Linked DNA regions of Daphnia pulex. The protein of the gene in region 2 binds, or shares a complex with, the protein of the main gene of each other region. Links are inferred from orthologs where the notes say so. Each region holds a gene or a part of one and is shown on either strand. Other genes may lie near its edges.

The links.
Region 1: the proteins of serine/threonine-protein kinase mTOR-like (region 2) and target of rapamycin complex subunit lst8-like are in contact, whole or in part, in a crystal structure (PDB 4JSV), measured with the Homo sapiens proteins. The link is inferred for Daphnia pulex from reciprocal best matches to the Homo sapiens genes MTOR and MLST8. Residues at the interface, in NP_001373429.1 of Homo sapiens: Leu2269, Arg2270, Met2271, Ala2272, Pro2273, Asp2274, His2277, Leu2278, Thr2279, Leu2280, Met2281, Gln2282, Val2284, Glu2285, Val2286, Glu2288, His2289, Asn2292, Asn2293, Glu2536; in NP_001186102.1 of Homo sapiens: Tyr20, His22, Asp42, Ser43, Gln44, Val45, Asn46, Tyr62, Asn87, Glu105, Gln148, Thr174, Arg221, Tyr222, Leu224, Ser268, Arg270, Gly271, Trp272, Trp274, Ser290, Lys313, Val316.
Region 3: serine/threonine-protein kinase mTOR-like (region 2) and target of rapamycin complex 2 subunit MAPKAP1-like share a complex: the UniProt entries of both Homo sapiens proteins name them as parts of the mechanistic target of rapamycin complex. The link is inferred for Daphnia pulex from reciprocal best matches to the Homo sapiens genes MTOR and MAPKAP1.

What each region holds. Positions count from the first base shown.
Region 1 is NC_060019.1:9,054,803-9,059,594, reverse strand, and holds target of rapamycin complex subunit lst8-like, read left to right. Parts: upstream 1-1,501; 5' UTR 1,502-1,613; coding exon 1,614-1,945; intron 1,946-2,012; coding exon 2,013-2,132; intron 2,133-2,197; coding exon 2,198-2,228; intron 2,229-2,288; coding exon 2,289-2,366; intron 2,367-2,450; coding exon 2,451-2,596; intron 2,597-2,655; coding exon 2,656-2,798; intron 2,799-2,867; coding exon 2,868-2,983; 3' UTR 2,984-3,107; downstream 3,108-4,792. Other genes in the region: uncharacterized protein LOC124191397, read left to right, coding at 1-772, 833-925, 991-1,419; N-acylneuraminate cytidylyltransferase A-like, read left to right, coding at 3,968-4,097.
Region 2 is NC_060027.1:5,104,959-5,111,329, forward strand, and holds the start of serine/threonine-protein kinase mTOR-like, read left to right. Parts: upstream 1-2,397; 5' UTR 2,398-2,610; intron 2,611-2,726; 5' UTR 2,727-2,733; coding exon 2,734-2,826; intron 2,827-2,904; coding exon 2,905-3,171; intron 3,172-3,254; coding exon 3,255-3,353; intron 3,354-3,418; coding exon 3,419-3,612; intron 3,613-3,671; coding exon 3,672-3,867; intron 3,868-3,933; coding exon 3,934-4,095; intron 4,096-4,156; coding exon 4,157-4,326; intron 4,327-4,388; coding exon 4,389-4,560; intron 4,561-4,623; coding exon 4,624-4,894; intron 4,895-4,967; coding exon 4,968-5,087; intron 5,088-5,164; coding exon 5,165-5,728; intron 5,729-5,797; coding exon 5,798-6,014; intron 6,015-6,080; coding exon 6,081-6,252; intron 6,253-6,315; coding exon 6,316-6,371. Other genes in the region: RING finger and SPRY domain-containing protein 1-like, read right to left, coding at 1-81, 161-316, 384-598, 667-926, 1,003-1,143, 1,204-1,270, 1,329-1,514, 1,578-1,743 and 1 more. UniProt on the Homo sapiens protein: Serine/threonine protein kinase which is a central regulator of cellular metabolism, growth and survival in response to hormones, growth factors, nutrients, energy and stress signals.
Region 3 is NC_060023.1:2,533,612-2,538,514, reverse strand, and holds target of rapamycin complex 2 subunit MAPKAP1-like, read left to right. Parts: upstream 1-1,438; 5' UTR 1,439-1,562; coding exon 1,563-1,602; intron 1,603-1,660; coding exon 1,661-1,747; intron 1,748-1,818; coding exon 1,819-2,404; intron 2,405-2,470; coding exon 2,471-2,769; intron 2,770-2,829; coding exon 2,830-3,167; 3' UTR 3,168-3,218; downstream 3,219-4,903. Other genes in the region: uncharacterized protein LOC124198557, read right to left, coding at 3,307-3,881, 3,938-4,073; translation initiation factor eIF-2B subunit alpha-like, read right to left, coding at 4,356-4,514, 4,575-4,700, 4,760-4,903. UniProt on the Homo sapiens protein: Component of the mechanistic target of rapamycin complex 2 (mTORC2), which transduces signals from growth factors to pathways involved in proliferation, cytoskeletal organization, lipogenesis and anabolic output.

The sequences.
Region 1 (4,792 bases), on a different chromosome or scaffold from region 2:
TTCTGCGTCTTGCAGTTTTGACCACAGCTACGTACTGGTACCTCCACGAACACCAACTTCTCTAGAAGAGAGTGCTGCTGCGTCATCGACATTGCGCAATTTCGAATCAGCTACATCTCAGGAAGCACAAGAAAATGCTGGCCCAAATGAATCGGATCACAATTACGTTATTCGTTCTTCTTCGACCCCTACTGTGAATGAGGAGGAAAGTTTCCATTTGGGTATGGCGGGTTACCACAACTTCATTAATGGTGTCGTTACTCCTACAGCTGAATGGACTTGGTCCTTCAACGAACGAAACAACAATTTAGTTTGTTCTTGTCATATTTTTTCCCATGACGGTGTGATGACTATAAAATCTGTTAAAATTGTCACCATGACCAAAGTTGCGTTGTATCTGAATGGAAAACCCATCACGCCTCCAGATATGCAATTTGAGTTTCGAAGTAAAGCTGATTTAGCAAATATTCTTGAAGATTTCAATTACAGAAGAACATGTCAAGGAATTGTGGATGATTCGCTAGCAGATACCGAAGTGACGGGTAAATGTGCTGGTATCAAGGAAGGCAATTTGTGGCGCTCAAAAATGTGCATGGGAATTGCAAACCCTCCTGCTTCCGCTCTCTGTTCAAAATGCCGCGTTTTTAAAAATTATTTGAAGAGAAGTACAAATAATCAGAAGACCAAGAAATTGAAAAATTCGAAAGAAGATTATAAATCGAGGTTGCGTTCCACCAAGCAAAGGTTGACACGATCAAATTCTAAAATTGAGGTAAATTATTGTTGGATTTTTTCTCGGAATAATCCTTTAATAGTTCTTTCTGAATTTCAGGCTCTTTCAGGTACCATAGAAGGTTTGCGCAATGAAAGGAAGAAGCTTTACTGGAATAGCTTTGATGTGAAATTAAAGCTTTTAAAGCCCAAAGTAATGATTAATTGATATGTCAAATTTCTCTTTTCAGCTAATTTACAAGAATTACTCACTTTTAGGAACAGCTAGTTGTTAAAACAATGATGGCCAAAGCAACAGTGAATCCTGGAAGAAACGATCGATTCAGCGCAATGCGTTACGATCCCGAATTTCTCAAAGAATGTTTACGAATCAGAAACAAAAGTTCTTCGGCGTACAAGCATTTAAGATCCGAAGGCATTCTTCCCCTACCGAGTCAGAATACACTCTTAAGAATCATGAAAAAAACAGATCTCGGTGATTCTAATAAATCAACGCAACCGGATCCACAAAACGTCTCCGCCGAATCAAATTTCATGGAACAAACAAATGTGGAAAATGAATGTCCTGCCTTACCCCACTTCACTGAGTCCGTATCGCCTACACCTGAAATAATGTTGCTACATTCAGAAGAAATACCTGTGTCTGTACAAGAAGAAATGATTGTTGAAATCTTGTCGGTTCAATAAAATGTGATTTAAAACTTAAAAATTTCTCTTCTTTTTTTTTAATTTCATACCTTTCGTAATTTGGCAATGCGGCCTTGGGCTCGTAGTTTGAGTTTCTGATCGTCGTCTGCTAGTAGAGTGATTTCAGAAGAAAAACAATAAGGAAATTTATTTTGTTGGTTTGACTTAAACGTCAAACAATATAATAAAACCTTATGGGTAATAATAATGGAGATCAAGTTATATTAGCTACAGGAGGTTATGATCACTCAATTAAATTCTGGCAAGCCCACTCGGGAGTGTGTACCCGGACGGTAACACATCCCGAATCGCAAGTGAATGCTCTCGATATCACCCCCGACAGCCAGCTATTGGCAGCTGCAGGATACCAACATATTCGCATGTATGAAATCAACTCTTCTAACCCCAATCCCATAGTCAATTATGAAGGTATTTCACGAAATGTGACTGCTGTTGGATTTCACGAAGATGGACACTGGATGTACACTGGAGGAGAAGACTGTTCTGCAAGAGTTTGGGATCTTAGGTATCATGTTTCCTCGTATTATTGGAAAAAACATAGTTTGATTGAGTTCTCATTTGTGTCATTCTAGGACAAGAAATTTGCAATGTTCCAGAATATTTCAAGTCACTGCCCCTGTAAATTGTGTTTGTTTGCATCCTAATCAAGGTGAACTATTGGTAGGAGACCAAAGTGGTGTCATCCACATCTGGTGAGATTTTACGTACCTTTCTTATTCTGTTGGGAATGATTGTAACACATGGATTGCTTATATAGGGACCTGAGAACAGATCACAATGAACAACTGGTTAGTATTGATACCTCAAGTATTTCCATTTCCATAATAATATCAATCAAATACTTACAGATTCCAGAACAAGATGCCTCCATTCAAGACATTTCCATTGATTCTTCTGCAAACTTCATGGCAGCCATTAATAACAAGGTGCCCATTATTGATGTTTATTCTTAGTTTCCCAACCAAGTCTTGAGATGTTTTTTTTCCTTTTCTCTCTCTACACAAATAAAGGGAAACTGTTATGTTTGGAGCCTCATCCCTGGGACTAAACTGCCGGACGGCGAAGAAGGTTCGACACCAACACAGTTGCGACCGAAAAGCCGTTTGTTAGCTCACAAACGTTACGGTCTCAAATGCAAATTCAGCCCTGACGCAAAGTATACGTTCGCCTCGTTTTCTTTGAATTTCTTTTTCAATCTTACAATTGATCTCGCAGGTACTTGGCCACGACGTCAGCCGATCAAACGGCCAAGTTATGGAAGACTTCCGATTTTTCCCTTCATTCCACACTGCAAACTGAAAATCAGCGCTGGGTGTGGGACATTGCCTTCTCTGCCGATTCACAATACGCAATAACAGGTACTTGACTCTTCTATTCTTCATCCTGGTTTTGTCTGCCTGTCTTGATGAAACATTTCGTTTATCCAGCTTCGTCCGACAACACAGCAAGGCTGTGGAGTATAGAAACGAGCGAGATAGCTAAAGAATACATTGGTCATTCAAAAGCTCTTACCTCATTGGCATTTCAAGACGGGACACCGTAAATTGAACATTTTACCATAATTTTCCCTTTTTTTTGGTTTTTTTTTTTCTTCTATTTTTCTCAAATGTATAAAATGTTTTTCATTGGCTTTGATACACTTAGGAACGCCTGAATTTTTAATGGTACCGTCCCACCTCACTTGTAGAGGTTGATTCATTTGGTAGAGCGGGAATCAACTCACCTATCTTGTGTCGTATTGGCTTTGGCCCCCTCAATCTCAAGACAAACGTCAACGTCAAATTGGATTAACATTCAATCAGTCGGGCGTAATGGGTTTGGGATGGCGTGACGAATTTCAGCCGAATGGAAGCAACCAAGCGCCCTATCCTCCTCTATTCATGTCAAGTCATCCATTTCTACAGTCCAGCAGAAAGGAGAAGGGAATAGTCTCGCGTACAACGAACGTGGGGCTCATCTATCAGTATTAATCTCCTTAGTTGGACACTAGCCTCGATTCTTGATGAGATTACCGAATTCAGGGCACCGAGGATGGACTTGATCGCTCCCGTGCCGGCCATTGTTTTTTCCAAACATCTTTCTTCCGCTCCTTTTTTTATCAGTTGGTTTTCCATCACTTGAATGTCCCATCACTTAAACCACCAATGCGGTGGACCGGGTTGGTCGTCGCATTAATCTCATGTCGACCTCTGATGTTTGATTCCGTAAAAAGTGCCAAGACTCCACATGCGTGCTGGCATCTAGCGACCAATAATAGCAGCTAACAGATTTGATTTCAGGATCCTATCGATCGGCGGCCGGGTTGCTGGCTCTTCTCTTCCGAGGCGGTGGTTGGGGAGAGCACACACAGCTTCCTCAAAAGAAACAAGACGTTATTTACTTTTGTTGGCTACGCTTACGTGAGACCCAGTGGAGTTTTAACTGCTGATCCAGGCCGGCTGAGAAGTAGAACCGAGAAAGAAATCCTGAATTATTGTCCGTCATAACAGAGGGATTGCTTTAGTTGCAGTGTCGAGACCAACTGCTGATGACGATGCACGTCGCCGGATTGATCCTTGCACGGGGAGGCAGCAAAGGAATCCCGCTCAAGAACTTGGCCTTACTCAAAGGCACGCCGCTTCTTCTCTGGGCGCTCAGGACCATGTCACAATGCAAAGGTAAATTACTACTGTCGCTACTATGTAATTCGATTTTAGTTTGTATGGCCGCAACCCCACAATTTTCTCTTCCAATGTTGAGGGTAACATTCTCCTTCCCGGCCGACATACGTGCAAGAATGAGATAGGTGTTTCTTTCTCCTTCTCGCAGCGCTTCAATTGAATTTGGATTGGCATTTTTTCATTGGATATTTGAGTAGGAAGGTTTTTTCATCATGTGTGTGTGTGTGTACAAGGAAAGCGAGATAGACGTCTAGCTGTATGCTCATTTGTGCGTGTCTAAAAGGGATGCCGAATGCAGTCATTCAGAAGGAGACGATCCGAATTCTGCGCCAACTGAGGCTGTTGGTGGTAGTCAGACTGGAATATAGGAGCGTTTTTCGTCTTCGTCGTCGTGGGGGGGAGAGAAAAGGCAACGGAGCGTGCTTGGCTCCAATACTACGCCCTGCCGCTCCTGTATAATAATAATATAGCTCCTAACCTTTTCTTTTCTTCTTCCTTTTTACAATAAATATATATATATGATTGGATGGTGGTGGTAGTAGTAGTTTTGTGTGCGTTACCAGGAGGATTGGAACGCCAGCGCAATTTTTTTTTTCTCTCTTCTCACCCGGCGCATTGCACGCAGCGCCTTCAATATGTGTGTAGATCCCAAAAGAATTTAGAAACTTTTTCCTCGCTGGTCCCTTGTGAGT
Region 2 (6,371 bases):
ATGACGGCAGGTGCATCGCAGCATAATGAGCATGAATCTTCATGGATGTTGGTGAGTCTCAACTGCTCTAATTTCTTCGATCTATCGGCAGATAATAAGGATGTCAGATTATTCTGGTAACCAGGTTTACTTAGCAAAAAATATTAAGTAGAAACAGAACCTTGGCAATATAATTTTTTGCTCTGCTGTTAACAATGCGTGGTCATTGAAAGCAGACACGGCAACTCCTCTGGGTGCAAAATGAAATGGTTTACTTCCGAAATTGAATTCGCACTGTTGAAACGACATAAAACTTGCAGCGGCAAAAAAGCCGCTTCTATAGTTATAACAAAAAGTATACGGTATTATTTTAAATCGTTTAAAAATCAGGATTGCTATTATACTTGGCAGATTTGAAAAGTTGTGAGTTAGACCCAAGTGCAACCCCATTCAACGAGAATATGACTTCCTCTCGATCAATATTCAATAAACATCCTAAAATATCTCCAGGTTTCCATTGTTGAAGTGTATGTGGTATGGATTCCGCTTCATACCAAATCAAGTTGCGACATCCATCATAGGCAATGGAAAACTCGTCATCACCGATACCATATCCTTCCTAAATAGATAAAAAAGAAAAGAAATAATAGTTTTCCATTTGACCTAATTATTATAAATGATAAGTACGTAGTTAAGAAATTTGCTGGATTTCGTAGCCCAACCAATCTGCATGATTCCAGGTGTGACTATCAACGCTTCGTAATACCAAATGCCAGCATCCGCTTGATATGTACAGCGGACACTTTCAAAGGAAGAAGCGTCGCAGCGAGCTTCAAGACCATTGGCTGCAATTTTGAGATATTCGCTAACATCTTGGCTGTTAAGCATAACATTGATAGCACTTGTATCTGTGCGTTCGTAGGTGAACGATCGCCCCTCACTAACGACTGTTACAGAAATGAATAGCATTCAAAATTAAGGTTCATTCAAACGTGTGATAAAGAGTTTTAAAAAAATGCATACATAGATTATCAAGACACCATTCAGAACAGAATCCAACTTGACGTTTCATGTAATCGTCGGTCGATTTCCATTTTTCCAACACCAAAAGTGGATGCTGGGTTTCTTGGTGGAATCTTTTATTGAGAGCAATTTTGTTTTCACCTAAATAGAAGAAAAATGAGAAACAAATCCTACAAACTAGTTATAATTATTATTTTTTACTTGTTTGAGCAAATTTCTCAAGAGCAATTAATGAAAACAGTACTACTGGTGGGTGGTTTGATGGATCCTAAAAGATATACATTGTTGAAAATAAAGTGAGACCAAAGATTGATTGTCAGACATACCAGGTTGGCTATAAGGTAATCCAATGTGCTGTCAGTTAGCAAAGCAACACTTGTAGGCCCAGCCAATTTTTCAGCAATGCAGCCCAATGCAATACAAATATTCCTGTGACGATTAGGATCTGATCTTCCCCTTTTACTAGCTTTAGCTGACAGCCAAAACATCCGGGGGACTTTAGTAATGGAATCCTGAAAAAAAAATGGTGAAAATTTAACCTAGCAACAATGTCTAACATATGATTAAAATCTTACCTTTGCTGGTAAGGCACAGTCATCTAGCACCAGAGTGATGACAGCAGGTCCAAGGGGTTCATTAATGGGTATTACATTAACCATGGAATGTAGAACAAGCAACCAACCATGCCCTTTGTTAGAAAGAGCTTGTAATCTTAACATTGAAGGAGGTGTTTCTTGATCACTAAACAAAGAAGGAATAATTAAAGTGGATACATAGGAACATATAATAAAAACATACTTTTCAACTAAATTTCCTATGACAGCTAATGTCTGCAAAACAAGACTGTCAATATGGGGTAGCATTCGCCTCAAGTGTGAGGCCTCAGATGCTGGTATAACATGAGATGGGAAACTTCTGTCTCTATCAACTGAAATATTAGATTGCAGTGGACTTGGGAGGCTGGCAGTTTCTGGTTGAGGCACTGAGAGAGAGGGTAGTTCCCCATCCTTTTCGTCACAACATAAGCATTGTCCCATTTTTAACTGCTTCAGTGGAAATTAAATTTGAACATGTTATTTGAGAGAGATCGTCACTATTCAAACGTGCAATTTGATCTCCATCTTAGTTAAGTTTATAAGTGGGTGTATATGGATTGACCAGGAATGGATTTGACGTTGTTCAACAATTAATTTCAGTAGCACTATTTAACCATGTTATAAATATGGATGGTAATCTAGTATTGAGAAATTCGATGAAAAAGGTATCGTCTGCTGCTTATAACGCGAACATAGATATCCGCTAGGGGCGCTTATAGGAGAGCCATCCTTTCACCGGACATCTAATAGTATCTAATGCCTAATGAGGAGTAACACAATTTGGAGTTTTCTTTTTCTTCCGTCAGATGTCGAAGTCCACAAGTTTGTTTATTAAAATAAGTCATACTGATACTGTAAAGTCTAATTAGTAATTACACGTTGTGGAATTCGCGTATTGCATATTCTTTTTAAAATAAGGCTTATCTTTTTTTGTCGAAGACAAAGAGTTATTTGATTGAATGGAAAAATAACATATAGTGTCCAATTTCAATTTTCGCTAGCGGGGTACGAGGTGATTGGCGACAGTTGACTTTGAATGTTTTCGAACTACTCCTTTGAGTTGTTGCTGATTATGCATTGAATTTATATCAACTGCTTCCTTTATTTTATCCTTTTTATTTATTTCAGTTACAGAATGGCAACCGGAATGATGCAAACATTCATCACTGGGCTTAGATCCAGAAGTGAAGATTTGAGACTAAAGGCTGCCCGAGATTTACACCATTATGTAAGAGAAGGATAAAGAGCTAAATGTTTAAGAAGGAAATAATATAGAATTGTTTTAATGTTGTCTTAATTTGTTTAGGTGACATCTGAGTTAAGAGAGGCATTGCAGGAAGATGTAATTTCATTTGTTGATGATTTGAATCACCATATATTTGACATGGTGTCCAGCTCAGATGTCAATGAAAAGAAAGGTGGCATTCTAGCCATAGTTAGTTTATTGCAAGTAGATGTTGGAAATACCAATGCCAGAATGACTAGATTTGCCAACTATTTGAAAAACTTACTTCCATCTCAGGATGTAGTTGTAATGGAGTTAACTGCAAGGGCACTTGGAAAATTGACACTGGCAAGTTAAACAAAAATCTAAATAGCCTCTACACATAATTAAAACAGATGATAAATATAGATATGCAATTTTTAATAAAACAGGTATCAGGAAGCTACACCGCGGAGTATGTGGAATTTGAAGTAAAACGAGCCTTTGAGTGGCTCAGTGGCGAGAGAAATGAAGGTCGTAGGCATGCAGCGGTAAGTTAAAAATAACATCATTAACGATATGTTGATACCATAAGTTTTAACTCAATTTCTCACAGGTGCTGGTTTTGCGAGAATTGGCTTTATCCATGCCAACTTTCTTTTTCCAGCAAGTCCAGACTTTTTTTGACGTTATTTTTTATGCTGTTCGGGACTCCAAACCAATGATTCGAGAAGGCGCAGTTGCTGCTTTACGCTCTGCTTTAGTCGTCACATCTCAGCGAGAAACTAAAGAAGCTCAAAAGCCTACTTGGTAATAAACAAGCTTGTACAAGTTTAACACATAAAGATATAGTATTAACCATTAATTAGGTATAAACAATGCTTTGACGAGGCCCAACAAGGTTTTGAGGAACCGTTAGCCAAAGATAAAGGACTAACAAAGGACGACAGAGCTCATGGATCTCTTTTGGTTCTTCAAGAGCTTCTACGTTGTTCGAATGCAGAGGGTGAACGACTTCTCGCTGAACTAGAGCAATTAAATTTACTACATTCACAGACTGTTCAGGTTGAATATGCCGATCTTTGTATGACCTGAGCAAATGCGATAATTCTCAATGATTTTTTACCAAAGGATTCTCTAATTTCTACAACTTCCCGAGTGTTGCCGAACGGTGCTGTTGAATTAATCAACACTCCTACACTTTACAATAATCTCCGGCTTTTGCCAGGGCATGTCGCTCAATCAAGGATAGCCAGCGCCGTGTCACCACTATCGATAGTTGCGCCCCAGCAGGTGATTTATAAAATTGATCGCAATACTTCCACTTACCTGAACGAATTTTCTATACAAACAGTACCCTATAGTTGAAAGCGCTGCATGCCGCCAATTGACTGCTGATCATTTTGATGAAATTTGTGCCAACACTCTTCGACATAGCATCTCAAAAAGCAGCCATGTACAAGCAGCTTTGATGGGAATTCTGCCTAGACTGGCTGCCTATGATCGAACCCGATTTTCTGATAGGTATTAAATTTTTGGAAAATTTCTTAAAATGACAAATGACCATACATACTTAATTTCCCCAGGTATTTGGGCCCTTCGATGAGCTACTTGATGGCGTGTTTGACCCGCAAAGAAAAAAATCCTCACCTTGCAATGATAACTATAGGTTATATAGCAGTGTGTATTGAAGGGGATATTGCCACACATCTCCCTGGCATTATTAGTTTTGTTCGGACTTCTCTACCTCAAAATAAAGTAGAGAAACTAAAGAGTGTAAAGAAGAAAAATTCTTTAATTTTCGAAACTTCTCCAAACTAGGACCCATCTTCTACCAAAAAACGCTCCAGTCCCCCTGATATTGCTGTTTTCGTCTGTCTAAGTCTGCTTGGCCGAGCCGTTGGTCGTTCTCATCTAACTAGTGAGTTCAAGGATCTACTGGATCCCATGCTGTCCGTTGGACTTAGTCCTGCCCTGACAACTTGTCTTCGTGAACTGGCCTTGAGAATTCCTCATCTTAAAAAAGACATTGCCGAAGGACTCTTGCGGATGCTTTCACTAGTTTTGATGCACCAACCACTTCGTCATCCAGGCATGGTTTTATTTTAAACAACGAATTTGGAAAAGTACATTCTACTTGAATTAATTTATCCATTCTATTTTAGGAATGCCAAAACATCATATGGCGCTCACTCCAGTGGCACTTCAACCACTACCATCGAATGGGGATGACGTCAATAGCATCGTTTTAGCTCTAAGAACGTTGGGGAGTTTTGATTTTCAAGGTTAAAAAACCAATTTATTTAAAATTCAATGAACGAGAGACGCAGATTTTTCAACATAATTTTGTTTGTGTCGCTAGGTCAACCACTACTTTTACAATTTGTTCGCCATTGTGCCGACAACTTTTTGTGCAGTGAGCAAAGGGCCATACGTCTTGAAGCTGTGCGAACATGCAGTCAGTTATTGAAATGTGCACTTCAGGAGTCAGTGAAATTAAAGAAAAAGCCATTGAGAAGCAGTGGAGTTCGCCTAGTTTCTGCTACGGTAGCTGAAGTCTTGAGTAAACTGCTCACCGCTGCCATCACGGATCCTGACGCTAGTGTCCGATACTGTGTTTTCGCGAGTCTCGATCCCCATTTCTTTTCGTATCTGGCGCTTGCGGAAAATCTTGGCTCTATCACTGTGGCGCTAAACGATGAAGTCTTTGAGATTCGAGAAATGGCTGTGTGTATCATTGGCCACTTGTCTTCCATGAATCCGGCTTATATTATGCCTGCTCTGCGTAAGCTTTTAATACAGTTGCTCACCGAATTGGAGCACAGTGGCATGGGTCGGAATAAAGAGCAAAGTTCGAGGTTATTAGGACGCTTGGTTTCTTCCGCACCAAGGCTAATCAAACCTTATATGGAACCCATCCTAAAAAGTAAGAACTGCCAGTCAAAATTTGAGGAATAATATTTTGATGTGTGTTACAAAAATTGTTTTATTTCAGTTTTAGTTCCGAAATTGAAAGAAAACGACCCTAATCCTGGAGTCACAATCGCCGTTCTCACTGCTATCGGAGATTTAGCTCAGGTGTCTGAGAGTGAAATGAGGCTGTGGAGCCCTGAGCTACTCCCTTTGTTATTGGATATGTTAGCTGATTCTAGTCTTCCAGCTAAAAGAGAAGTTGCCTTATGGACCTTGGCACAGTTGATCGAAAGTACAGGGTAAGGATTCTCACTACTTGTTTCTTGCTTTCTTATTGAAATTATTATTTCCCACCAAATATCTAGATGTGTGATTCAACCTTATCAAGAATTTCCGTCACTGCTTGAGCTGCTACTGAGCTTTTTAAAAACCGAACAACTTGTTTCCATTCGCCGAGAAACGCTCAGAGTATTGGGATTGCTTGGAGCGCTGGACCCTTATAAACATAAAATGAACTTGGGTCATATTGATAGCCAAGTAAGTAGAAAACTTTGCGAATTTCCAAATATCGCCCGATATCTAATCACTTCTTGTTAACAGGGTGACTCCAGTGCTGTAATGTCAATGTCTGATGCTCGAGATGCTGACTCTTTTAT
Region 3 (4,903 bases), on a different chromosome or scaffold from region 2:
AAATTACCTGTTTAAAATTTGATTGATAATTTTTTTTTAGTAAGAGGTTTGACTGCGCGAAACTAGAAGCACCTTCCGCCACAACGGTGTGTCGCCGGAAGAGACAGTACTGGAATCTTCCATTATATGCCGACCATGTCTTCGTCAGCCAGGATGACATCCACCAACAGTACCAGCCGCTGAAACCCACTCAAGTCATCCAGTAAGCATAAATATCTTATCTTTCCTGATAAAAGGGCCATCAAATTATTAATTTTGTATTTGTCAATAATTGAAATAGGGTTCTGCCTTCCGCATTGCCCGATTACCGTAATGGAATGGCCATCCGCCCCTACCAGTCCAATCCGCAGTTCATTTCCCCATTCAGTATTCAGTCGTCGCTCGATAAACCGTCAGATCAGCCAGTTTACAGGGTAGCAGATCCGCTTTTCGGCGCTTTTTACGCCTTTTCTTCTCTTCTCTCCAACATTTTCAGTGGCATTTTCCGACCGCAACCGACTCCGGCCGTCCTCGTCACCAGGTACACGATATTCCTTAAGAAATTCATAATTCAAAATATCACCGTCAATCATAAAATGACATTGAACGATTATAGTACATCGACAGTGTACACAACGACGACAACCGCAACTTCCACAACTTCGACAGCTACTTACACTTTGAAAGGCGCAAATTGTCTTCCAGCCGGAGTTGTTGTTTGTCCAGGATCTAATACCGCTGCTGCGTCCAGTACTACTGCCGCTTCAACCACCGCCTCCTCCACCACTCCGGCCTCCACCACTACATCGGCGACTACAACCACAGGATCGACGCCAACTTCCACATCAGGTTAGTACTTAGTATGAATCCACATTCGTAATTCTAAGATCACTATACATTTTTTAAAATATTTACCAAAATAAGATTCAACTACTACGGCCAGCAGCACCACCGATTCAAGTACTGTAACCAGCACGACAGATTCAACTACTGTCACAAGCACTTCCGACTCAACTACTGTTACAAGCACCACAGATTCAACTACGACGTCATCGACCACGCCAAGCTCTGGTTAAATTCAGTGTTGATGATTATGAAGATCTCGATGATTTAATTTAACAATAAATAATTAGAAATCATTTTGATGCGGGGCATAACATTATTAAAATGGTAAAAGAAAAAGATAAGTATGTTAAAGTAGTATTTAAAGAACAAAACACATTTTTACCTCTTTCTCGACCAATTTCAATACGACCGTGCCCATCAAATTGAACCATACATAGTGTTCGCTTCTGAAAAAGTTAATAAGAAATAAACTCACAGCATTACCCAATTCGTTTTTGAAGATCTAAGAAATGGAATGGAAGACAAATTTAGCCGAAAAAATTATTAATTTTTGCCGACGTTTTCGCGCAACAGACAGTTGATTTGATGCGGCAACACTGCGCTCATAGCAGAAGCTCAATCAAAATGTCAAACAACCTAAAACTAAATCCCTAAAAAGGCAAAACAATAACATTAGAGCAAGAGTTGGGTGTTTGGTCTCCTTTCTCTATGAAAAAAGAAAAATACAGAATGCTTCAATGTTTTATACACATTATCTAAGTGCTACGCTATCCGAAAGTACGATATACTTACTTCATTGGTGCGCGTACAAATCGAAATCGAATTTGGGTTCTAGGTCAACAGAGTATTATGGCGTTTTATGACAACAAATATTGGATTCTTTCCCATGTAAGAAACTCATTCTTGTACTCAGATGATACTGGTGAGTTACTTTATTCTCTTTGGAACATTTGATTTTCTATAGTGCTGATTGCATTGTTTCTCTCCATTCAGGCATGTGCGAAATGATATTGCAGAACGCTGATATACCAAAGAAGATCAGAGAAGAGGGTAAAAAACAGTGGTTTGGAAATTTAGATGATTCAGAAGAAGAGTTTGATGATGATGGACGAATTCACACAAGATCTCTAGGAAATGGTAATGATGACTTTGGAACTCGGAGGAGAAGGCTTAACACAGTGGTGAGGCTTGAGAAGATGAGGAAAGAACAGCAAGCAGCCGCCATGATCAGTACCATTAGATGGAAAGAGCCAGATTTGACCAATCTAGATCAAGGTGAAAAGACCAAGATATTTCAAAAGAAGGAAGTGGTTGCTCAGAATTCCAAATCTGCCCTTTCTAAACTTATGGCTGAGCACGCCTCGGATCCCGATTCGCCATTCATTGAGTATGCAAAATTTGATGGGAATTCTCAATTGAGAGCACCCACAAGAACAATAAGGATATTTTTAAGCATGCAAAGTGCTGAAGACCGCAACTTTCCTATGACCGTTTGTGTTGTGGCTTCGGCAAAGGTTTCTGAACTTATCGGCCTTGTTTGTTACAAATACAGCCACGAAAAAAGAGAACCTCCTTTAACGTAAATATTAAAATTTTGCCCTTGAAAAATTAGATTAATTAAGTTCAGTATATATTTTACAATTAGTGGATCTGTGGATAATTACGCACTATTCATTGCCGAAGACGACGGAAGTCCAGATGCCGATTTCCCTTGCCTAGAACCTAAAGAAGTTGTTGGGAAGTTTGGATTCACCTCCCTGGCTTTGGTTCGCTCTGCCAATCCCCCAAAGGAGGCGAAGAAAGACGTCGAGACTAATAAAACAGTTGATCAACTCAACACTGAGAAACCAGAAGAGCGTGGGGCTGTTCTGGAATCTACCGACTACCATTCGTTCAAAGGATTTTTGCTACACAAAGTTCGGCCAAACACGGAAATAACTTTGGGTAAATAAATAAAATGTTATAAATTATCCATGTCAAATCCAATAATAACGTTTCGCACAGGAATTTCGTGGGACCAAGTGGAGATCAAGCCTTGCCCAACTAGTCGGTCTGTAACAACTTTACTGTGGTCAAGGCCCAATCTCAAACCAACCCGTTTACCTATTGAAGTGATCGTAGATTGTGTTCCTATGCAAACATTGCCAGCATCAGTTGCTATTATGTATTACGACACAGATAAAAGAAAATGGAGGCGTTTGCGAATTGAGTGTGACTCGAAGACCATCGAACAAGTTGTGGCGAAGTTAAAATTCATATTAGAAATCCGGGGAGGACTTTACCGCCAGGAGTACCTCCATCACATGTCATACGTCAACAAGAAAGCCAGCCTGATTCGTTAAAAGAAATTTTAATAATTCAATTGTTTGTTTAATAAACCTTAAAATGCGAAATGTCAATTTTTACAAAGTATAGCGGATTATGTAGCGGAAGAAAGGATTATTGTAGACGTCGTTATCCAGAAAGGAATGGGAGAAGGTCCTATGTCCATTGAAAAGTTGGAACTATCATGCTCTGAACTTCGTCTAGTTGACGCTCAACCGTTGATAAGGACCGATGTAGTTGTTGGGAATTTTTTTCCAGGTGTACGAGTCCTATGTAGTGGCGTGTTTGATATGAAACAATTTTCTTGTTGACTGCTGCAAAATCTGGTAAGCTCTTTAGAAACTTTACATCTTCAGATTTCAATCGGCCTGTTTCAATTTGCACTCTTCCCTTCAAGACATCTTTAAGCTTACTCTTTGCATCTAAATAGGCTTCTCTTCTCTTTTTGTATTCTTCATTCCACAGCAACTTCTCATTCTTCAGTTGTTTTGTGGCTGATCTTGTTCGTTTCTCAAATTTCTGATGAGCTTTATCTCCAGTAGAAACTAGAACTTTGTTTAGAATGTCTTCAATGTTATCCCGTAGCCTTTCTGAATAGGCAGCAACAGCATCTTGCTCTTTTTCTAAGGCATTAAACTTCATTTCCTTCAGGGTATGATTCAGACATAGTTCTGTTATTTTATGTTTCTTCCCAGAAGGAGGTAGGGATGAGTCTACCGCAGCACAAGCAGCTGTAAAAACTTCATAGTGAACAAATTGACAAACAATATCCACAACATTTCATTACCTCGAAAAGTTGAACCAGAACCACCACCAGTAATACTTCTGTTAAGACTTGGTCTCCTCTTTATGAAGTCATCAATGTTGTTTCTTTCTCTTGGAAATTTCTCCGGAATGTGGTCTTTATTTGGCTCATTTAACATCTTTTTCCTCACAGTTTTCTGTAGTTGTCTCAATTAAACTTTGTTATTATTCCCTAATTTTGATTGTTAAAAAGTTAGAGCTAAATTAGCACCAACGCTAACAACTTCAACGGTTTCCAATTTGAAGTGCATCGTTCGAAACGCCACCTTGCGACAGATGACCTTACTGCATGTTATATTTTCCACACGCGCAGGAAAATGTCTAAAATCACAAAAAAAGTGACATGAACGTGTATTTTATTTACACATTTATCGATGTTTTTATATTTAGACGACTCTCTTTCATAGATAAAGTTTAATTAATTCATCACTGACGGCTGATGGAGTGAGAATTCCCAAATCTGTGAAAAGCAAAGTCAAATATCCTGGTGGCGTGTAATCAACTTGAGGATGCTGATCGAGAAGATTAGAATGATTGGATTCAATAATAGTTGACGAGAACTAAAAAAATTCAACACAAGTTTCAGCATTATGGAAAATTGGTTAAAAAATTTAACATACTTTCAGTTCTTGGGGTAAATCGCGTTGGTTCAGCGGGTAGAGACGGACAAATTTGAAGCTCTCAGCGAGAACGTAAAAGGGTTTGTGCATTTCCTTGGCACACAGCGCCATAGTATATGTTCCAATCTATTTCAATAAATTTTTCAATTTTTTTAAATAGTCAAATAAATATATTTTATCCGTACCTTATTGATAATGCCTCCGCTTTCAACAACACCTTCAGCTCCAACAAGCACTAAATCCACTGATTCCATGACATAACCCATGGCCGAATCCAAAATGAGAGTCGAACCAATACTGTGTTTCAATAGCTCGTCTCTCATAGCGAC